Linked DNA regions of Drosophila melanogaster. The protein of the gene in region 2 interacts with the protein of the main gene of each other region in a pairwise test. Each region holds a gene or a part of one and is shown on either strand. Other genes may lie near its edges. The genes, in order: Spx, Pfas and CG9961.

Evidence for each region.
Region 1: the proteins of Pfas (region 2) and Spx interact in a two-hybrid assay, tested with the Drosophila melanogaster proteins (one large-scale study listed by BioGRID).
Region 3: the proteins of Pfas (region 2) and CG9961 interact in a two-hybrid assay, tested with the Drosophila melanogaster proteins (one large-scale study listed by BioGRID).

What each region holds. Positions count from the first base shown.
Region 1 is NC_004354.4:6,251,459-6,258,119, forward strand, and holds Spx (spliceosomal protein on the X), read left to right. Parts: upstream 1-4,363; 5' UTR 4,364-4,452; coding exon 4,453-4,486; intron 4,487-4,560; coding exon 4,561-4,644; intron 4,645-4,702; coding exon 4,703-5,628; 3' UTR 5,629-6,138; downstream 6,139-6,661. Other genes in the region: Rbcn-3A (Rabconnectin-3A), read right to left, coding at 1-533, 957-1,105, 1,170-1,387, 3,804-3,890.
Region 2 is NT_033779.5:6,039,085-6,048,813, reverse strand, and holds Pfas (phosphoribosylformylglycinamidine synthase), read left to right. Parts: upstream 1-2,763; 5' UTR 2,764-2,893; exon of another isoform or gene 2,894-2,920; intron 2,921-3,100; exon of another isoform or gene 3,101-3,187; intron 3,188-3,217; exon of another isoform or gene 3,218-3,287; 5' UTR 3,288-3,296; coding exon 3,297-4,386; intron 4,387-4,462; coding exon 4,463-6,739; intron 6,740-6,802; coding exon 6,803-7,500; 3' UTR 7,501-7,633; downstream 7,634-9,729. Other genes in the region: CG34179 (uncharacterized protein), read left to right, coding at 171-680, 1,034-1,075; slmo (slowmo), read left to right, coding at 1,114-1,761; CG31643 (uncharacterized protein), read right to left, coding at 7,683-7,890, 7,950-8,145, 8,201-8,475, 8,527-8,806, 8,871-9,729. UniProt on the Drosophila melanogaster protein: Phosphoribosylformylglycinamidine synthase involved in the purines biosynthetic pathway. Catalyzes the ATP-dependent conversion of formylglycinamide ribonucleotide (FGAR) and glutamine to yield formylglycinamidine ribonucleotide (FGAM) and glutamate.
Region 3 is NT_033779.5:2,742,875-2,749,371, reverse strand, and holds CG9961 (uncharacterized protein), read left to right. Parts: upstream 1-4,437; 5' UTR 4,438-4,447; coding exon 4,448-4,605; intron 4,606-4,659; coding exon 4,660-4,768; intron 4,769-4,834; coding exon 4,835-5,914; 3' UTR 5,915-5,997; downstream 5,998-6,497. Other genes in the region: Pgk (phosphoglycerate kinase), read left to right, coding at 991-1,052, 1,117-2,061, 2,120-2,360; Cwc25, read right to left, coding at 2,491-3,815, 3,878-4,100, 4,156-4,173; Hrs (hepatocyte growth factor regulated tyrosine kinase substrate), read right to left, coding at 6,287-6,497.

The DNA.
Region 1 (6,661 bases), on a different chromosome or scaffold from region 2:
GTGCCGATGCGTACGGAACTTGGGGTTCTGCGATGCCATCGGATCGAACTGGGTCATGTTCACCATTCCGTCATCCGGCAGCACCGTCTCGATCCAGATGCGACATATGTTGTCCAGACAGGACGTGACCAGCATATTGGCAACCGAACCCTTGGGCATATACTTGCTCGTCTTGCGCCACACAATATTGGACACGGCTCGCGGATGGGCGATGTACACGTAGGTGAAGTTTAGCTCACCGCCAGAACTTGAGGTGGTACCATCGTCCACTCCGTGGCGACATGATGGCGTGGGTCCGGCATTGGAGGAACCCTTGGCCGGGAATAGAACCTGTTTGTTCTCATACCAGATCTTTACCAGCCGATCGTTGCGTCCGCAGGTGGCAAAGAGCGTTCCATCCGGACTAAATGCCATGTGGTAAATGGGTATGGCCGTTTGGCAACTCCAAATGTTCTCCCACGTGGACACATCCTCCGATTGGGCGTTGCTCGTCTGCTTGGGCTCCTTGCTCTCGCCAATCTCGAACTTGACACCTATTTGAAAAGGTGATACTGATTAGTATCAAGTCATTGACAAAGGAATATCGTCAATGAAAACTTTTTCATTCACAGTGCTCTAATATCAAATAAATAATTATAAATGGAACCAGAAATGGAAACCAGACTAAACAAGAAACCGAGCATATCGCTCTTAATTACAAAGCCAAACAAACGTATGGAGTTATTAGACAAAATACAGTACGAAAGATGAGAACTACAACCTTGCAATTGTTTATAATAGCTCCATAAAATAGGAAAATGGAAAACGGAAACACCCCACTGACGACATCACAAAACGTAAAAAACAAAAACCCATTGCAAGTAATTTGCATTTGTGATTCATCTCCGCCCACGCAAATCGATAGGTGGCCACACAGAGACACATAGAAATGGGGTGTTGGGCAGCTATTGGCTTACCCGTGTGCTCCTCCTCCTGCTGGTGAGTGGGCGACTTGCTCTTCCACAGCTGGATGTTGGTGCCGCCAGTGAGGAGGCGGGTGCCCTCCAGATTCCAGGACAGGGTCACCACGTTCGAGTGGCTGGTGAAGGAGCCCGTTTGCACCCATCTATGGGGGTATGAAAAAATAAGTTAGTATGTCTTTGGGCTTCTTAATACCATCGCTAGCTTACCTGTAATCCAGAAAGTGGGTATTGTGTTTGCTCGACTCAATCACCGGCGTGGGCTCAAAAATGCATATCTTATTCTCATAGGCTGCTGCTATTTTTCCGGTATCGGTGCTGCAGTCCAGGGCGGATATCTTGACATAGCCATGGTTGGCGCCCGGAATGATCTGGACGCGCTCGAAAGTGCTTGCCAGGATGACCACATTGCAGCCGGCGGCGTAGGCCTGATAATAGGAGGGGCGAAATGGGGATTTTGTGAGTACTGCAGTTAATCTAAGCGTTATACGATCGGTATGTGTTTTCTCAGTTATTTGTTTTTGAGTGGCTATGTGTATATAGGGCGGGTGGGTATATAGCTTTATATCGATAACAATACCCCAACTGTCCAGTTAACTGGCTTATCAGGCTGGCTGATGACAAGGCTCTTGCCACATCATGTTTGGTTACCTGGTTAGCTAAAGTGTGTTTGATTTATTTGTTGAGCTGTCGCTGATATGCTCATTATCGTGGCCAGAAATTTGAATACCCTGTTCGAGTGGGCTAGGGAGGGGGTACACTATTTATAGTGGAAACACTATTCATGTTAATTATCTCTAAAACATTACCGCATGACGATCTGTGGCAAAGGATCATTAGTGCGGGTGTAAAGGGTTGAGTCAGCAGGCTTTATCTTTATAATTGGCTCATTGATGCGGGAGATTACAGATACCCCGTTTAGTTACAATAGCGATAAATGGGGAATATCAACAGAGAATCTGTTTGCAATGGCTTATCGCGATATTGGAATGTGAGCCTTATTTAGCTAGTTAATGAATAAAAACATCATTTCATAAAAACAAGGGTATTAACAACTTCGTCACTACACACTACACACCTGCTAACTTTTTGACATAAAAAGGTTCAACTACTCTGCTTTTCTGTCGTGTTTATATTTAGCTTTTTGCTTTCCGGTTTTCCCATTGCTTTAAATGTCAGCTTATGATGGGTTTATGCGTTTAACTGAGAATATTACCCATTAAGTAAACACACCGATGATACTTTTCAATGGAGGGTTTTCCGAACTTTTCGCTTACCAACCCATTAGTGTTCCCGCGGATAAGATTACTTTATATAAAACTTTGTTACCTGCTGAAAATAAACAGTGATTTTTTTACGGTATCCTATTGTAGTATTGCTATACTATTAAAATTTGACTTTAAATGCGGTTTTAATGAGTTTATTATTTTTGGTTTCCCCTTCCAAACGCTAGGTGGCGCCAGGGGAGTGTGTTCGTGCCGATCATATACTAAATAAATATATGCATACACACATACATCCACACATATGCAAACACTCGAAATTAAACAAATTGAAATGATGGCAAATGATATGGCGCAAGGCGGTGGGCAGTGGGTGGGTGTTGGGTGGTTGGTGGTCGGTCTGTGAACGGGGGACTGTGTCAACGGCGGTGCTGATTACAGAATAGAATATAGTAGAATATAGAATATATATATAATGTACACATACGCCCCGTGGGGCCTCTCATTAGAATGGCAAAATGTGCACAGTAGTTAATTATGCTTCCTTGGGTTTTTGCAGGAAAACACAGACCTTGTTCTCTACATCGGATAAACATTCTGAGTAAACATATAGTACACATGTCTCAATGGGTGTAATGTTTATAAACTCGAAGTTGACATAGCGAAGTTTATAGTGAGCTCTTCAACTTTTTCCTGTTACCGTTAAAGGTTTTAGACACGAAAATGGCCAGATTGCTAAGAGTATTTGGTAGTATATAGTATAGGGATCGAATAAGGCACATTATAAATGCGTGCTCACGTTTTTTTATTATGGCCGTTTATAATTCCAATTTGCCATTGACGTGGGTTGGCGAAAGGGGTTGCGGGGCGGGGGGTGCTGCCATAGAGAAAGGGTTCGTGGGAAGGGGAAGGTGGGCAGCCTGCAAGCTGCGAAATTAGGGCATCAAAGGCCACCTGACCAATCGAAGGGTATACACACACACATACTCGCACTTATATATATATACATGCGTATATACTTTCAAGCACACACTCTCACTGCAACTGGCGCATGTGTGTGTGTGTGTGTGCGTGCGGCTTGTTTACTGCCAGCACTTGACCTTAAAAAAATAAAAATGTAATTAATTGCTGGCCAGGTATGTAAATGCAGGTGAAAACAAACATTGTGTTGTATTTGTTGTGCCACACAACATACACACACACACACTCGAGCTGCACACTTTGTTGTTATCGAATTTTTGCACAGCGCCAGCCAGCAAACACGAAAAGTTCTCTATCTCATCATTTGCATTTGATTTTTTAATTGACCACCAAGTGTGGCAAAAAAAAACGATATAAAATTCAACACACATTCACACACACCGCACACACGCACACCACACACACGCAAATATGTAAATAAAAACATTAAAGACGTGCTCCGATCGGTTCTTGTTGGAATGACGACGATGGTGATGATGATGCCCCGTTTCCAATTGGAAACGGTTCAACCTTTTGAACCAAGTGTGCGTGGGGGGGTTGGGGGGCGTGTCCGGCTGGTTGGGCCGATAATGGTGCACATTCCGCCACCGATTTTCACCCAATTCGATCCGGATTCGGATTGGGATGGCTCTGTGCTTACTGTAAATGGTATTCCTTCCACGGAGCCAATGGCGAAGCACCGGTCGCCTGCATTGCAAGCGCCGCTCAAAATCTGATGACAATTCATAATTTACACACAGTTGATTATCACATCACAGCGCACGGATATTGGGGTCTTGGTTCTTTGGTTTCTAGCACGAATTTTCCTTGCTTCTTGTAACAAACGACAACAAAGTGACATTACATAAAAATTAGAGTTGGGTTCTTGGCCAGCGCGGCCAATCGAACTATCGATATTAGGGATGGCACGGCATGGGAGGCGAAATATCGCCTGAGTAATTTAAATACGGTTACTCCAATTAACCGAAAAACTGTTTATCATTTAATTAAAATATTATTATTAAAATATTTCATTTTATTTTCAAAAAATAGAGGTGAATATTTTAACCTATTGAAATTATATTTAATTATTCTGCTTCGTCTATATTTAGTATTTTTTCTAATATCCGTTCGATTTGATTCGATTTCGATATCAATTTCGATTGCCAATAAAAACGAAATCGTGGAATATATATCGATTCATGGTATCGATAGGCTGTTTCGATATTCAGGGTTGTGTTGCGAGCATTTTTGCATGTTGAAAACGCCGAAAATTAGTTTTTGGTTTTGTTTATAAAAATAGCTCCGAAATGGCGGCAGGTCCAATTGCTGAACGCAACCAAGGTGGGTTTGACCTCCACTCCACATTTGCACCACTTGGGAGACGCTTTAACCCGCCTTTTCCGTTCCTTCCACAGATGCCACCATCTATGCCGGCGGTCTTGACGACAAGGTGTCGGAAACGCTGCTTTGGGAGCTGTTTGTCCAGGCAGGACCAGTGGGTAAGTCCCGGACACACATGTATAGTGCCTAGCAGCTCCCTAATCGTCATGCTTGCAGTGAACGTACACATGCCCAAGGATCGTGTCACCCAAATGCACCAGGGCTATGGATTCGTCGAGTTCCTCAGCGAGGAAGACGCCGACTATGGAATAAAGATCATGAACATGATCAAGCTTTACGGCAAGCCCATTCGCGTGAACAAGGCGTCGGCGCATCAGAAGAACCTGGACGTCGGCGCCAACATCTTCATTGGCAACCTAGACGTGGAAGTGGACGAGAAGCTGCTGTACGATACGTTCTCCGCCTTCGGCGTTATACTGCAGACGCCGAAGATCATGCGAGACCCAGAGACGGGCAAGTCTAAGAGCTTTGCGTTCATCAACTTTGCCAGCTTCGAGGCCAGCGATGCGGCCATGGACGCCATGAACGGCCAGTACCTGTGCAACCGTCCCATTTCCGTGTCCTATGCCTTCAAGAAGGATCACAAGGGCGAGCGTCACGGTTCGGCTGCGGAGCGCCTGTTGGCCGCCCAGAATCCATCGACCCATGCAGACCGGCCGCATCAATTGTTCGCCGATGCACCGGTGCAAACCATGATGCCCCAGATGCCGGGCCAGATCCCGGCCCAGATGCCGGGCCAGATGATGCCGCCACCCATGATGGCGCCGCCGCCGCCGGTGGTGCCCGTTTCGAATAACAATATGGGCATGCTAGCACCGCCGCCGCCCGTTCCCCAGCCTGCACCGTTCCCAGCTACGATACCGCCGCCTCCGTTGCCACCGATGACCGGCGGACAGCCGCCGCTGCCGCCAGCAATGGGCATTCCGCCGCCGCCTCGCATGATGCAACCAAATGCATGGGCACCGCCCGGCATGCCTGCTCCTCCGCCCAGACCACCGCCCACCAACTGGCGTCCGCCGCCCGTGCCCTTCCCACCCACGCCCTACGCACGGCCCTATCAACCCGACGGCTACCAGTACTAAGTCTAGCGTGTAGTGTATACCAATTTGGACGAGACGAGAAATAAACATCAATAGGATTCATCAATGAAGCCTGCTCTGGGATATGTTAAGATTTCCATTCTTCTTTCTAATATGCATTTAACAACCGGGAAACCACTGGGAGACATTTAGATCATCATTGTATTTCCATTTAGTAGTCGCAATACAATCTTCGAATTCTTACAAGACGAAATTAAATAACTTTGAATAGAATTTTGAAATGAACGAAATGATTTGATATAAATTGACTCTCGATTCTTGATTTTTTTTTAAACGGAACTATTTTCAATAAACATAAAACGTTTACATTAACAAGTCTGTAAGTTTAATTTGAATGGAACATACGAAGAAAGCGATAATTTTTTTTTGTAATTTAACTAAGTATTTTTAAAGGGCTCCCTCTAATTTAATGTCCAATCCTTTGAAGTTATGTATAGAAACTAGCTTGTAGTTCAAAATAAACTGAGGAATGATTTTCCATTTATTGAAATGAAACTAGGATTCTTTTTTAGCATTCCCAAAATGATGCCGTCCCGCTTTTTTTCGAAACACGTTTGTTTTTTGGTCTTGTAATTTGTTTAGCATAAATTTATTAATATGGGAAACATACAAGTACAGTATTTACAATAGTTTTGACTACTATTCATTTTTTACTCTTCGTCTATTGAATTCTTGCCTAAGCGATTTTGGTTTAGTCCCACTGTGCTAACTTCCATTTCGTTTGGTAAAATAACTTAACTTTAGCTTTACGTTTAAATGGTTATATTTAACGTTATTTTCTCCTTCGTCTCTTTGCTTTTGCTTTTGTTTTTTTTTTTTTTGGTTAAGCAAGACAAACAACAACAAAAAAAAAACTGTGAGGCATATAGTAATAGTAATAGTAATAGTAATAGTTTTAATCAATAACGATGTACAAGCGAATCGTTACGCATCAATTTTCTCGCATTTATTTAAATTTCTTTTGGTTTTCGATTTGTTTCTTTCTTTTTTGTTTACCTTAAAAAAGATGTATATA
Region 2 (9,729 bases):
TTATTATTGTGATGAACAGGTAAAAAAAATGCAAAGCGAGAAACAATTGACGCTGCGCGAACAGCTGATGGCCAGTGCTGCCACACCTCCACCGGTTATCGATTGCTGGGTGCGGAATTTCTAGTTTTCAATGTAGATTGCAAACATAAACGAATTTTGAATCCTGCGAAATGTCGTACTTACTCACGGAAATCGCGCTGGAGATGCTGGGCTACAAGTTCTACGACACCAATGGCACATTCCACCTGACCAATTTTCAAAACAACTCCACGCTCAGCGAAACGCATCCCGATGAGCCCTCCCTGCAGGAATTCATTGAGTACACAAATGAGGAGCTGAAGCAAGACGCGCAACAGCAGGAGCCGCACACGCTGGCGGTGCAGGAGGAGTCGTACCTGGATGCCCCCACCATACCCGAGTCACGCTATGCGCGGCGCACGCCGGCCAAGGCGCTGGCCAAGATAATGGACTACGAGAGCGAGAAGATAGTCAACCAGATCAGCACTCGTCTGGAGGGCTCGGTGTCACGTCGGGCGGCGGCGGACAGTGACGAGCAGCTGGCCGAGATCATCAACGAGGAGAGGAAACTAATCGAGGCGGATGCCGAGGTAATACACAACTTTCGGGAGCTCGTGGAGAGCCGACTACAGCGATTGGATAAACGGCCCTACGAGAAATACGTACGTACCTTCGGGCCGCAATAGGAAGCTGCACGTGCAATGTCAAAGTGCCGCCATTACTTTTAGAATTAATTTAGTTTATAAATTTAATAAATAAGTTACCGCTACAGGGTGCCTGCGGCACTTTCATTTTCTCTTACTGCGCCAGTGTGACCACCCTAGCCCATGCACTGGCCAGCGATAGCCCCATCTATCGGAGCCACTGTCATCTCTAGCAGCACAGCACGAGTAAAGGTCAGCTCTCGTAACTTGTCTCGGAAATATTCAATAATTCCGAGATTGCCGTCAAAATTCGAGTCGTGTACTTCAGCTAACGCTCCCCCTGTTTAATTCCGTTCCGTCTGCCCCCGCAGGCTCAGCTCAGCCCGCATCTCGGCTGCCAATTAAGGATATAAAGCCCTCCCCGGACGGTGACGACAACGGCGCTTGCATAATGAAAATCTGGACATCGGAGCACATATTCAACCACCCGTGGGAGACGGTCACGCAGGCGGCGTGGCGCAAGTACCCCAATCCGATGACGCCCTCCATCATTGGCACGGACGTGGTCGAGCGCCGTGTGGTGGACGGCGTCCTGCACACGCATCGCCTGGTGCAGTCCAAGTGGTACTTCCCCAAGTGGACGCACGCGCTGATCGGCACGGCCAAAACTTGTTTCGCCAGCGAACGCTCCACGGTGGACCCGGAGCGCAAACAGATGGTGCTGAAGACAAACAACCTCACCTTCTGCCGCAACATCAGCGTGGACGAGGTGCTCTACTATGAGCCGCATCCGTCGGATGCCAGCAAGACGCTGCTCAAGCAGGAGGCCACCGTGACCGTCTTTGGTGTGCCGCTGTCCCACTACATGGAGGACCTGCTCACCTCGACCATTAGCACAAATGCCGGCAAGGGACGCCAGGGCCTGGAGTGGGTGATCGGGCTGATCAACACGGAGGTCAAGGGCATCGCTCGCGGCACCGACGAACTTCTGCACAACACACGGCGCTCCATCGACGAGGTGACGGAGAGCGCGCGGAAGAGCATGGACGAGATCAGTGCGCAGGCCGCCAAGGCGGCGAAGGCGATGCACATTACGTAGGTGTCGACAAGGCGACAGTGCAAGGTCGCGCGGGGGCTGTTCACTAGTGAATTATTTAGATGGCGCGCGGTCGTCGTTTTAGTACAACTAATTAATCGATGGCACGATGGACATGGACAGCAACATGTGGGACAGCAACACCTTCCTCTATTCTCAAGCCATTCAATGCATATATTTTATAATTATTACTCCCCTTCGAACGAATCGACTGCTAATGAGTCATGTCGATAAAGAAGTGCCCCCGAATGGCTGAACTGGAAGGAACTCGCGCTAATGCTGGCCCCCATTCATGCAGATCAATATATATATAAACCTAAAGTACATAGTCAATGTAAGCTTTGTAAGCCGCCGCAGATTTCGAAGAACGAGAGGAGCAATTAAACGACATATTTGCCTACGACCAGCCAGTGTCAAGTTCAATTGTTTAATTTTAATTCGCAGCACACTTGTACTGCGTCTTTTTTTTTTGCATTTGCATGACGTTCGCATGTGCAACTGCAGCAATTTTAAGCATTCTGTGTATAAATAAAACCCAAGAAAGTCGATTTGTGGGTTTTTTCTCTACATACATACTTGATTAGCGATTTTTGGCGTCTGTTTTATTCGCTTATCATCAAAAGCCCACGTGCCTAGTGGCTCAACAACTGTGTACCTAGTTAGCATCGCAGACATGGAAACTGATATGTCCCTTATCTGGTTCAACAGTTGCGAAGAATGTGATTGAAGGGGAAAGTGGGTGCTTGGAAACAAGTTGATGATCAAACAGCAGGTGTTCTAGGGACAAGGTGAAATACTTTTACCTAACTTATCAAAAGAAGTAACTTATTTATTTAGCAGTTTTCGTAAGCTTTTAATCAAAATAAACAAGTAATCCTTACGAATTACAATTAAACTATTTGGTTCATTGAACCCGTGTAGCATTAACCCTTGCAAGTTACGCAATGGGTACAATTTACGAAAGCTTTTAAAGCTCAATTCGCCTAAGGGTTAATTTGAATTCCAGCGGCAGTCGCTGTGCAGCACTGGCCAACCGAACGCTGTGGTGGATTGAGCCGCGAAATGAGGGGAAACCGAGCTGGAGCCTCAAAACGATCGTAATTTGCAGCTAAGACGCACGTGTGCTCCGCTCAGTGTTAGTGTTATTGTGCTTCAATTTGGGGTATTTGGCGTTAATTATTTACCTAAATTCCGACCATTCAGCAACGCAGGTTTCCGTTCGTAATGGAAAATATGTTTACGCCGGCTTATCAGCAAACTCCCAGCCGGGGAAAAACAAAAACAAGTTGTGACGCCAGTGCAGCGATTGCTGCAGGCGATTCCATCGATTTCGCTCGGCTGTAACCTGATCCGCTGCTGTGGGTTGTGGGCTGTGTGGCTGTGGTATAGGTGCCGCCAGTTGATAACCCCCAGCGTGGGCACGGACCCACTGGTCGTCAACCGCTTCGCAACTCCCAAGATCATTCTCGATTCGACGAGCAAGGAGTGCACACTGTCTGTACTCAATCCGCATTTTTCGTTTCTTGCAGCCCCACGACATGGTCATCCTTCGCTACTACGATGTGCAGGCCCACTCCGCGGCCGAGGAGGAGAGTGTCCTGCGTCGGTTGCGCGAGGAAGACGGCGCCGTGGTGTCCGTGCGCATGGAGCGCTGCTATCATCTGGAGTACAGCGCTCAGGCAGAGCACTCACTGGCCCTGGACGAGCTGCTGGTGTGGCTGGTCAAGCAACCGCTGAGCAAAGGCCAGAGCTTGTCCAGGCAACCTGCCCTGCAGTCAACTGGGTCGAGTCAGTTGCTCCTGGAGATCGGGCCGCGTTTTAACTTCTCCACGCCGTACTCCACGAACTGCGTGAACATATTCCAGAATCTCGGGTACTCAGAGGTGCGTCGCATGGAAACCTCCACCCGCTATCTGGTTACTTTTGGCGAGGGATCAAAGGCGCCGGAGGCAGCCAGGTTTGTTCCTCTGCTCGGTGACCGCATGACCCAGTGCTTGTACACCGAGGAGAATACCCCCAAGGCGAGCTTTGACGAGCAGCTACCTGAGCGCCAGGCCAACTGGCATTTCGTGCCCGTTTTGGAGGAGGGTAGGGCGGCACTGGAGCGGATTAATCAGGAGCTGGGCTTAGCCTTCAACGACTACGATTTGGACTACTACCACGACTTGTTTGCCAAGGAGCTGGGCCGCAATCCCACCACTGTGGAGCTCTTCGATTGCGCCCAGAGCAACAGTGAGCACTCGCGCCACTGGTTTTTCCGCGGACGTATGGTGATCGACGGCGTGGAGCAGCCCAAGTCGCTGATTCGCATGATCATGGACACGCAGGCCCACACGAACCCGAACAACACCATTAAGTTCAGCGACAACAGCAGTGCCATGGTGGGATTCGATCACCAGACCATAGTTCCGTCCTCCGTGGTCGCTCCCGGCGCAGTGCGTCTGCAGAGCGTGCAGTCTGACCTGATTTTCACGGCGGAGACCCACAACATGCCCACTGCAGTGGCGCCTTTCAGCGGAGCCACCACCGGCACTGGCGGACGACTGCGTGATGTCCAGGGCGTGGGCAGAGGAGGCGTGCCGATCGCCGGCACCGCTGGCTACTGTGTTGGCGCTCTTCACATTCCAGGTGAGCATTGCTTTTTTTTTGAGTATTTAGTTCCTATTAGTTTTTATTATACATCACGACTTTCTTGTCGTCGCAGGTTACAAACAGCCGTACGAGCCTTTGGACTTTAAATACCCTGCGACGTTTGCGCCCCCACTTCAGGTGCTCATTGAGGCGAGCAATGGCGCCTCCGACTACGGAAATAAGTTCGGCGAGCCAGTGATCTCTGGTTTTGCCCTCTCCTATGGACTGAACAGTGCTGCCGATGCCAGCCAGCGGGATGAGTACGTGAAACCGATCATGTTCAGCGGTGGCTTGGGCACCATGCCCGCTACCATGCGCGAGAAGCTGCCGCCGGCACGCGGTCAGTTGCTGGCCAAGATCGGGGGCCCAGTGTACAGGATTGGAGTGGGTGGCGGCGCCGCAAGCTCTGTGGAGATACAAGGATCCGGAGATGCTGAGCTAGATTTTAATGCCGTACAGCGAGGAGACGCCGAAATGGAGAATAAATTGAACCGTGTGGTGCGAGCCTGTCTAGACCTGGGCGAGCAAAACCCCATATTAGCCATCCATGACCAGGGGGCTGGCGGCAACGGCAATGTCCTCAAGGAGCTAGTGGAACCAGGCTTTGCCGGAGCTGTTATCTTCTCCAAGGAGTTCCAACTCGGCGATCCCACGATCACTGCCCTCGAACTGTGGGGTGCCGAGTACCAGGAAAACAATGCCATTCTTTGCAACGCTGATCAACGCGAACTGCTGGAAAAGATCTGCCGCCGTGAACGCTGTCCCATCAGCTTCGTGGGAGTGGTGACCGGAGATGGGCGAGTAACGCTGCTGGAGAAGCCTGCCCCCAAGGATCTGGAACAGGCGTTGAATGCGTCCAATCGCAGCGAAGTCTCACCGTTCGACTTGGAACTTAAGTACGTTTTGGGCGACATGCCCAAGAGAACGTACGACTTGAAACGCGAACAGACGCCGCTCAAGGAGTTGAGTCTGCCGAAAGGTCTCCTTCTGGACGAGGCCTTGGAGAGAGTTCTTAGCTTGGTGGCAGTCGGTAGCAAGCGCTTCCTGACCAACAAGGTGGATCGCTGCGTCGGTGGATTGATTGCACAGCAACAGTGCGTGGGACCGCTCCAAGCTCCACTAGCGGACTACGCGTTAACCACCGTCTCCCACTTTAGTCACTCTGGAATCGCCACTTCAATTGGTACACAGCCACTAAAAGGACTGCTTGATCCCGCCGCAATGGCCAGGATGTGTGTGGCTGAAGCGTTGAGTAACCTTGTGTTTGTAAAGATCAGCGAACTGGCTGATGTCAAGTGCTCTGGCAACTGGATGTGGGCTGCAAAGCTGCCCGGCGAGGGTGCCCGGATGTTCGACGCCTGCAAGGAGCTCTGTCAGATTCTTGAGGAACTTCACATCGCCATCGATGGCGGAAAGGACTCCCTGTCCATGGCGGCTAAGGTGGGCGGTGAGACAATAAAGTCCCCGGGTACTCTTGTCATCTCCACCTATGCTCCCTGTCCGGATGTGCGGCTAAAGGTAACGCCTGATCTTAAAGGACCCGGCGCGGGGTCGAAGACTTCCCTGCTCTGGATAAATCTGGAGAACAGCGCTCGCCTAGGTGGATCGGCTCTGGCTCAGGCATACGCGCAGCAGGGCAAAGATACGCCAAACTTGACAAGGAGTGATGTGCTGGGCAAAGCATTTGCTGTGACTCAATCGTTGTTGGGAGATGGACTTATTCAAGCAGGACACGATGTCAGCGACGGAGGATTGCTTGTTTGCGTATTGGAGATGGCCATCGGAGGACTGAGTGGCCTTAGAGTGGATCTATCGGAGCCCTTGGCCAAGCTCAAGAACTTCGATAAGTCTGTCGAGAAACTTAATCGTCCCGAACTAGCTGTTCTCTTCGCCGAGGAGTGTGGATGGGTGGTGGAAGTCCTGGACACAGACCTGGAACGAGTTCGATCTACCTACGAAAAGGCAGGAGTACCAAACTACTATTTGGGCGTGACCGAGGGATTCGGACTGGATTCCAGAGTGGTACTCAAGAACGGCAAGTCAGAGCTGCTGGACCAGCCACTCCGTGTGCTCTACAAGAAATGGGAGAGAACCAGTTACGAGCTGGAAAAGCTTCAGGCCAACCCTGAGTGCGCCGAGGCAGAGTACAATAGCCTTGAGTATCGCCAAGCACCTCAGTATAGGGGACCTCAGAATGTGCAGGCCGAGCTTACTCTCAAGCGATCCTCCGCCCCAGTTCGCGTGGCCGTGCTCCGTGAGGAGGGTGTCAATAGTGAGCGCGAGATGATGGCCTGCCTGCTGAGGGCTAACTTCGAGGTGCACGATGTGACCATGTCGGATCTTCTTCAAGGTAAACTCAATGGTAAATTCTAATAAAGGGGGAAGTACTAAAGCAAATAATTTAATATTTCAGGCACCGCAAGCGTGTCCCAATACCGCGGACTAATTTTCCCGGGCGGCTTCAGCTATGCGGACACTTTGGGATCCGCCAAGGGCTGGGCAGCAAACATCCTCCACAATCCCCGCTTGTTGCCTCAGTTTGAGGCTTTCAAGCGTCGTCAAGATGTGTTCTCCTTGGGCATTTGCAATGGTTGCCAGCTGATGACACTTATAGGATTTGTTGGCAGTGCAAAGAGCGAGGTGGGCGCAGATCCCGACGTGGCCCTGCTCCATAACAAATCGCAGCGGTTCGAGTGTCGTTGGGCCACCGTGAAGATTCCAAGCAATCGCTCCATCATGCTCGGAAGTATGAAGGATCTGGTTCTTGGCTGTTGGGTGGCTCACGGCGAAGGTCGCTTTGCATTCCGCGACGAGAAGCTCATTAGCCACTTGCAGTCGGAACAGCTGGTGACATTGCAATATGTTGATGATGTAGGCAAACCGACGGAACTGTATCCACTTAACCCGAACGGTAGTCCTCAGGGAATTGCTGGCCTTTGCTCGTCGGATGGACGTCACTTGGCCCTCATGCCACATCCCGAGCGATGCTCCTCCATGTACCAGTGGCCCTATGTGCCATCTTCATTCGAAGTTTCCCCCACACAATCGGAAAGTCCTTGGCAGATTATGTTTAACAACGCGTACAATTGGTGTGTCAAGTCGAATCAATAGATATTCTAGATGAATTGAAAGCAGTTAAATAGGTTCTTGGCATTTATGACCTGATATATCTAAATACTATATACACGAATTTGTTTACTATTTTTATAAAATAAACTTAAACACTCAAACAACTTTAAAACTCAAATAAGCGTACTTATGAGTAATGTCGTCGCAACGAATAGAAATGAAAGCTAATGTGAAATTTGTAACAAGCATTTAAGGTAGTTGGCCTTGGCTGTTGATGACGCCATATACTTGGAGTTCCAGTCGTGCTCGTTGATCTGCATCACTTTGTAGCCCATCATCTCTAGATGTCGCATCTTCAAAGATTCAGGACCCCGCAATGCAGTCAGATCGTTTTCACAAAAAGAGTCGAGCTTGAGCAGTAGTATTGCCACTCTGAAATTGGAGTCATTAATGAAGTACCTGAATAAGGTAACTTCCATTTGTGTGCCTACTTGGTTATGCGATCCAACATGGTTGCCTCCACGGGAGGTGCTGGGATGGGATTTTTATCCCGATCGAAATGTATCACAAAGTCTATTTGGTAGCCGTAGGGTGTAGTGTGGTTGCAGCGGAAATGCTTGTCATTTTGAAGAAGCTGATGCAGCAGCTGCTTCACCTCTGTTGTGGACTCACTGGGTATTAAGGATTCTAAAAAGATAATATGATAAAGAACGCCTAATACAGAATTGTAGTTATATGTTACTTTTGCTGATCTGCGCCTCGATGTAGTTTTGTTGAAACCAGGGCACATTCGCCTCGGGAAAGTCCAGGCATACTGTGCGATTCAGTTGCATAACCAGGTTAAGGACCCTCTCCGGATACGTTGCTTTTGAGTAGCATACTTGTATCTCATCCTCGATTCGCTGAATGAATTTCACGCAGAATACTTGATTGATTAGCTGCTCTGGTATTGATTTGTAAAAGCACAGTGCTAGACAAGCCTGGACAACCGATAAACCGCTCATCTGGTCAAAATCTCTGATGGAAAGATTACATTTTAGATCTGCCTCAAGAAATGTTTATGCCCACCTTAGCAGTACTTCGGAGGCGTGGTTTAGAGCCTCCACGGACGCTGGCATGTAGCCCAAATTATACGAGCAGGTCAACACTTTCTCCACTGTGTCGCCGGAAACGTGATCATGCTGTTCGGAAATGTAGGCGAACATGGACTCCAGGAGCTCGGGAACAAAGAAATTCGAAGCGTTGAAGTTGTAGGCCATGTCCCGAACCACCCGAGAATTGAGATCGTTGCAGTGCAGATTTTTGTACTGCGCCAGGGCCTGGTTGTAAACCACCGTATTCTTTAGCTCTGTAAAGGGATAAAATTGTTTAAATTTGTTTATATTTCAAATGAACCAAAGTTATCAACTTACTCTTGCGATGACTGAGTGTTCTGACAATCATGCTCAATTCGCTGGCATTTAGAGGGTCCTTTTCGGCATCTCTCAAGTGCCTCTCCGCACAACCGATGAGAATGCTGTCCATTGTGGACAGTTGCATGCCAGCTAATGCCGGAAGATGCTGGCGAAACCTTAGTTCGCTGGCTATTTGCATGCCGCGACTGAGGAGAAAGCAATCCTGAATGCCAAGCTGGGGCGCCATTGCGAGCATTTTGCTTAACAAAAAGTTGGGAAATTTCTTCCAGGCCAACGGAGTCTGCCCGTAAGCTAGCACAAAGGATGCAAGTCGTGCGAACTTCGCTGGCAGCCTTCCCGCTATGTCATGCTCAATAGCATTCATGCACATGCGACTTAGCTTTCGTTCCAGTTCTAAGTGACGGTAGGTTCCTCCCAGATTGTTATTAAAGTTCATATAGCGTTGACAGTGTCTCAGGAACCGTAGGTGCAAATGCTTTTCCGGACAGGACTCCAGCTCTTTTACAACTCCTGACCAGTATGTGTTGCAGAATTCAATGTCGGAGACTTTTAGTGCACGCAGAACGCTGAATAAATGTCCGCTCGCATTGGGTTGCTGCCAGGCCTCTTCGGAGTAGAGCAGTTCCTTAAACTGATGCAGATACTGGTCTCTCTGCAGTGGCGTTGCAAAGGGAACTGCACAAAACAGGGCGTCAGCAGTGCCTTCTTCCTGTAGTAACTTTTCAAGGGCTTTCTTGAGCGGCTCTATCAGTGCGGCGGGTTCTTGATGATGCAAAAATGTGCGACAAATGCTCTTTAGATCTGCAGACTCCATCTGGTGTATGCAAGGTCGCAAGACCAGCATGACCTCCCGAAT
Region 3 (6,497 bases), 3.3 Mb from region 2:
TCATCATGGCATCATAAGCGGAATCCGTTTGCACAGTCAAAATAAAACAACGGCCACCGAGAAAGATTGTGTGATTTGACTTTGTTGGCCTCAACAGAAATCATTTATTCAATAATTACATATTGACATACAAACATCAAAGGGGCGGCTGTTACATACGGTATGGACATATGTATGTACGTCGTAGATTATTATTATTTATTAAATTTTTTTTTTATTATTTTTATAAATTAATTATAAATTTTTATAAAAAATCACTAATTCGGACTTTCAGTTAAAATTTAACAGACATTCAAGGGTGTGGAAGAAAAAAGTTCTAAGGGGTTAAAATTTATTATAAAAAATTTATTAAAAAAAATAATTTTTATATGTATTTAAGTGAAAATATTATATGAACGGTTTCTATTTAAGTTAATATAAAAAAAATTGTATACTGTAAATAGCAAATGATCAATTAAATGATCTAGTCAGAATATGCAGACATTTATTTTGTTAATTTTTAGCATATGATTATCTATGGACAATATTTAAATATTATGAAAATAATGATATTTTAAATAATAGATTTTTAAATTTTAGAATTGTGTGGCCCCTTTTCGACACCCTTGGAACGGATGCTTCACAGCACTGTGCTGACAGCACTTACCAACACTGCTTGGGCGCCAAATACAGAGTTGCATTTGGAGAGTACAACTTTTATCCAACTTTCGAACGAGAATACAATCCGATACCAACTTCGGACTCCAAAATAGGAGTATACCCAGCTGGATCCTGCGCATGGCACCTACCAATCGGCGGAAAACCGCTTGCCACGGATTGACGCCCTGGAAGTGGAGATGCAACCCTAGCAGCTCACCGACAAAATGACCTTGCGCTGACATTGCCGCACAGCAGTTGAGGACGAAGAAGATTCGCGGAATCAGTGGTATCGCAATCCGGAGTTTGCTAGCACGCACAGGAAGTATCCAGAAAATCCAGAAAAATCCAAAGATGGCCTTCAATAAGCTGAGCATCGAAAACCTGGACTTGGCGGGCAAGCGGGTGTTGATGCGGTAATCCAAAGCCAATCCTCGCGTGAAATTCAGTTGCATAAACATTGCCCGTGCTTCTTTGCAGCGTCGACTTCAATGTGCCCATCAAGGAGGGCAAGATCACCAGCAACCAGAGAATTGTCGCTGCCTTGGATAGTATCAAGTTGGCCCTTTCCAAGAAAGCCAAGTCGGTGGTGCTGATGTCCCACTTGGGTCGTCCCGATGGCAACAAGAACATCAAGTACACCCTGGCACCCGTGGCCGCTGAGCTGAAGACCCTGCTTGGCCAGGATGTGATCTTCCTAAGTGACTGCGTCGGCAGCGAAGTGGAGGCCGCTTGCAAGGATCCCGCACCGGGATCCGTCATTCTGCTGGAGAACGTCCGCTTCTACGTGGAGGAGGAGGGCAAGGGCTTGGATGCCAGCGGCGGCAAGGTCAAGGCCGATCCTGCCAAGGTCAAGGAGTTCCGTGCCAGCCTGGCCAAGCTGGGCGATGTCTATGTCAACGACGCCTTCGGCACTGCCCATCGCGCCCACAGTTCCATGATGGGCGATGGCTTCGAGCAGCGCGCAGCTGGTCTGTTGCTGAACAAGGAGCTGAAGTACTTCTCGCAGGCCCTGGACAAGCCACCAAATCCCTTCCTGGCAATTCTCGGTGGCGCCAAGGTGGCCGACAAGATCCAGCTGATTGAGAACCTTCTGGACAAGGTCAACGAGATGATCATCGGTGGCGGCATGGCCTTCACCTTCCTGAAGGTCCTCAACAACATGAAGATCGGCGGTTCCCTGTTCGACGAGGAGGGCTCCAAGATCGTCGAGAAACTGGTGGAGAAGGCCAAGAAGAATAACGTGCAGTTGCATCTGCCAGTGGACTTTGTCTGCGGCGACAAGTTCGCCGAGAACGCTGCCGTCAGCGAGGCCACCGTGGAGGCCGGAATTCCCGATGGACACATGGGTCTGGATGTGGGTCCCAAGACCCGTGAGCTCTTCGCGGCACCCATCGCACGCGCCAAGCTCATCGTGTGGAACGGGTAGGTGTCACACTGAAGCTACTTCTCCAAATGTCCTATAATGGTTTTCCCATTTTAGACCCCCCGGTGTCTTTGAGTTCCCCAACTTCGCCAACGGCACCAAGTCCATCATGGACGGCGTGGTGGCCGCCACCAAGAACGGCACCGTCTCCATCATCGGCGGCGGCGACACTGCCTCTTGCTGCGCCAAGTGGAACACGGAGGCACTCGTCTCGCACGTCTCCACCGGAGGCGGCGCTTCGCTGGAGCTCCTGGAGGGCAAGACACTGCCAGGCGTGGCTGCATTGACCAGCGCCTAAGCGTACATATATACGGTATATTAATGTTAATCGCATCGTTTACCTTGTAAGCACAAACCACGACGTTAAAAAGTGTTGAATCTATTTGTTGCGGAACCATATAATGCATACGAAATAAAGGAATCCTAGTTTATTTGCGGGCAAAGTTGCTGTCCATTGAGGAGGCGGTGCGCTGTATGTTGTTGAGATTGGCCCGGATGCGATCGCCAATTGAGTTATGGTTGGCAATGGCCTTCTTCACCTCCTTGTTAATGAACTCCTTGTCGAAGTCTCGTTCACGATTTTGGGCCTCCTCGCGCGCGTATGCTTCTCGGTGCTTGCGAACCACCTGGCTGCGATCCGCTTCTCTCCAAGTGGCGTTGTCCATCATTTCGCGCAGGCGAGCTTCTCGGTCGGCTTCGCTTAACTTTGGCTTGCCGGTGGGACGGCTGGGAGGCGGTCTTTCGGCAATCCTTCGCTTGTCATCTCCTTTGGAACTTCGGCTCCTGCTGCGTTTTGATCTGGAACGCTCTTCAGGTGTCCTACTCCTGCGTTTCTCGCGCTGCTTTGAAGTGTCCTTGCTTTGACGTCTGGCTTTTCTGTCCTCTGGGCTCCTGGTTCTTCTCTGTCTTCTCGCTAAGGGACTTCTGCTCCTGCTCCTGCGCCTTTCCCTTCTCTCTTCTGGACTCCTTTGCCTTTGCCTTTGTTCCGGACTTCTACTCTGTCGCTTTTTTCTATCCCGGGGGCTTCTACTCCTGCGTCTTTCTCGCTGATTTCTGTCCTCTGAGCTGTGGCTCCTTTTGTGCTTTCTCCTTGGCTCTTCCTCTTCGTCACTACTTTCGTCACTGCTATCGCTGCTTTTCTTCTTCTTGGATTTCTTGCTCTTTTTCTTCTTGGTGGCCATGTCTAATTGATTTGAAATGGTGCGGTACTTGGCGTCCAGCAGCTTGTCCAGTTTAAGGTCACCTTGGTCTCCCTTGAGTTTGCTCACTTGGCGGGCTAATTTTCTGTCCAAGTCATCGTCGCTATCATTGCTCTCGCTGTCACTACTTTCCTCATTGCTGGATCGTCGGTTCTTCTTCTTCTTTTTGGATTTCTTAGACTTTTTGTTCTTCTTGTTCTTCTTCTTTCCCTCTGCGGCCTTTTGTTCCTGTTCAGTCTTGAGAATGCGATGGATTTCCTTCAGCTTGACGGGGTTCTCAAGCAGCTTTCGACGGGATTCCATTTCGCGCTGCTTGATGAGCATCAGGGGATCCTCGAGGGTCTTGCGCTGTATGTCCACCTGTTCGTTGGACTGCACATTGCGGTAGGTCCGGATGGAGAAGGGCACACAGTCGTGCTCCACATGGTTGATCGTTTGCTTGAGACCCACTGTGTTCTGCTCCTGGCGGCTTTCCTCCGCTTGCAGCGTCTCAAAGGACTTGTCGATCTTACGGCCCAGGAGGTACTCCTCGCGGTTGATCAGCTCTGTGCTGTCTGGAGCAAGATAAATATGTATGGATAATGAGTTTTATAAGAGTTTCACATGTATGACTCACTTTTGTACATCCACTCCAGCTTGGCCTCGCCGGCGGCTCCGCCATTATTGCTCAGCACTCCGGAACTTTCGCCCAATCGCCTTAGTTCCTCTCTGTCCCGCTCCTCGTTGATCTCCTTGCGCAGATCCTGCAGCTTGCGCTCCTCCATCTTCGCTTGCTCCTCCGCCTTCCAAACGCGCTCCTGGTTTTTCATCGTGTGCGGATGCCATGATTTCTTCAGATTCTGCGGGAAAAATCAATGGTAATTGACGGATAATCAGTTGGGAGACATTACTTACTAGATCTCCGCCACCCATCTTGGGTTTGATTTGCGTTTTAACAGCAAAACAAACAAATTACAAACAATTCCAGATTTTCCCTCCTTTTCTGTTGTTTTCAACAAAATCATATGTTCGCCCGGGCTGCCAGATCGTGGTGAAGTAATTTAACTTGGTGTTGCCATAGGGTTACATTTTTCTTTTACTTTTTCGAAAATTATTGAAAATAGTTAATTTAGTTACTTATTTTCATAATTACTTCCTCATCGTGCATTGTATTTTCAGTCAAAAACAGGTAATAAATTTATTTAATATGCTTCCAATTCGGCAGAGTTTATACCAAAGAGCTCAAACTCGATTTACAAAATTAAGATTTCCAAGATTTTTTAGCAAAGACGATTGCAATGGAAAGCAAGTAAAGAAGTTGAGCTTAAAAAATGTAGATGTGGCTGGGAAAAGGGTTTTTATGAGGTGAGTATCCTTGCCAGATATGTTTTAGTGTGTGATTTATAAATTTATTTTTAGAGTGGACTTTAATGTACCCATGAAAGATGGCAAAATAACCAACAACCAACGAATTGTTTCCGCACTTCCCAGTATTAAATATGCCTTGGACAAGAAATGTAAGTCCTTGGTGAGTTGATATATCTTCCTTCAATTCCTAAAAAGTATAGAACGAATAACTTAATTTTTTGCCTAGGTTTTGGCATCCCACTTGGGGCGTCCGGATGGCAAAAAGAACAAAAAGTTTAGCCTGGAACCCGTGGCCAAGGAGCTGGAGAGTGTGCTGGGCCAGCCGGTTCAATTCCTGGACGACTGCGTGGGTGATAGCACCCTGAGAGCTTTGAAGGATCCCTCCGACGGCACTGTGTTCCTGTTGGAGAATCTTCGTTTCTATGCCGAGGAGACGGGCAGCAGCAAGGACGATAACAAGAAGAAGGTCAAAGCAGATCCCGCGAAGGTGAAGGAATTCCGAGCCAAGTTGGCGCAGCTGGGCGAGATCTATGTGAACGATGCCTTTGGAACAGCACATCGTCCGCATAGTTCCATGATGGGCGATGGCTACAAGGTGCGAGCGGCTGGTTTCCTGCTGGACAAGGAACTGGAGTACTTTGCCAAGGTTCTCCACGATCCGGCCAAGCCCTTTTTGGCCATTCTGGGTGGCGCCAAGATAGCCGATAAAATTCCACTGATAACGAACCTCCTGAACAATGTAACGGCCATGATCATATCCGGTGGCATGGCCTTCACCTTTCTCAAAGTGCTCAATGGCATGGAGATTGGAAAGTCCCTCTTCGACGAGAAGGGATCCGAGTTGGTCAACGACATAGTCTGCAAGGCGAAGGAGAAGGACGTGAATATACTATTTCCGATTGACTTTGTCATAGCCAATAAGATCGACAAGGAGCCGGATAAAGTGGAACATGTGGATGCCACACAGGGCATACCGGAGGACATGATGGGTCTGGACCACGGCCAGGCATCCAGTCAGATGTTTGCTGGCGCTATTTGTGCATCCAAAACCATCGTCTGGAACGGACCGCCAGGCTTGTTCGAAAACGAGCTATTCTCCAAAGGCACCGAGTCCATGCTGGAGGCAGTAATCGGGGCCACTAACCGAGGAGCCACCACAATCGTTGGTGGTGGGGATACGGCCACCGCTTGCTTGAAGTTCGGAGGCGCCGACAAGGTCTCGCATGTGTCCACCGGTGGAGGAGCTTCCCTGGAGTTGCTGGAGGGTAAGGTTCTGCCTGGAGTGGCTGCTCTTTCGGATGCCTAAACGCACTGCTTTACAATGGTTATTCCACTTATATGTACATGTATCTTAAATTCAATTTGGACAATTTAAACAATCAGTCTCTCAAAATACAAAGTTATTTTTATTGTGGAATAACATTAGTCGGTTAAAACGTGATAAAAGGGCGGGCCTCGATCTCGTGCAGCACTACTTTCCAACTATCTTTTTACCTCCATAGATTTGGTCTAAACTTAAAATTTATCATGTTCCTCTTTCTCGCAACAAAAACTTTTGAAATAGTAACTAATAACCGCGTTCAACTAAACAAAACATACATTTTTTCGCTTAACAGCCGCACGAGAACTTTCTGACCCAGCCCTGAAGGGTAATACAAATGGAATAACATCTCTTGGATTAATCAAAGCTAATCAGTTCCGCCGTAGCCGGCTCCTCAGCTTTAACGGGCGCGGGTCCCGGTTCGTTTTGCGGCGGAGCAGGTGCAGCAGCCACCGCTTGGACTTGATTGTTGGCGATTTCGGTAACTGGAGGTGCCTGTGCTGCTGGAGGAGCCTGGTGCTGCTGCAGCATTACGTGACCCATTTGGGGTTGTGGCTGAGGTTGCTGG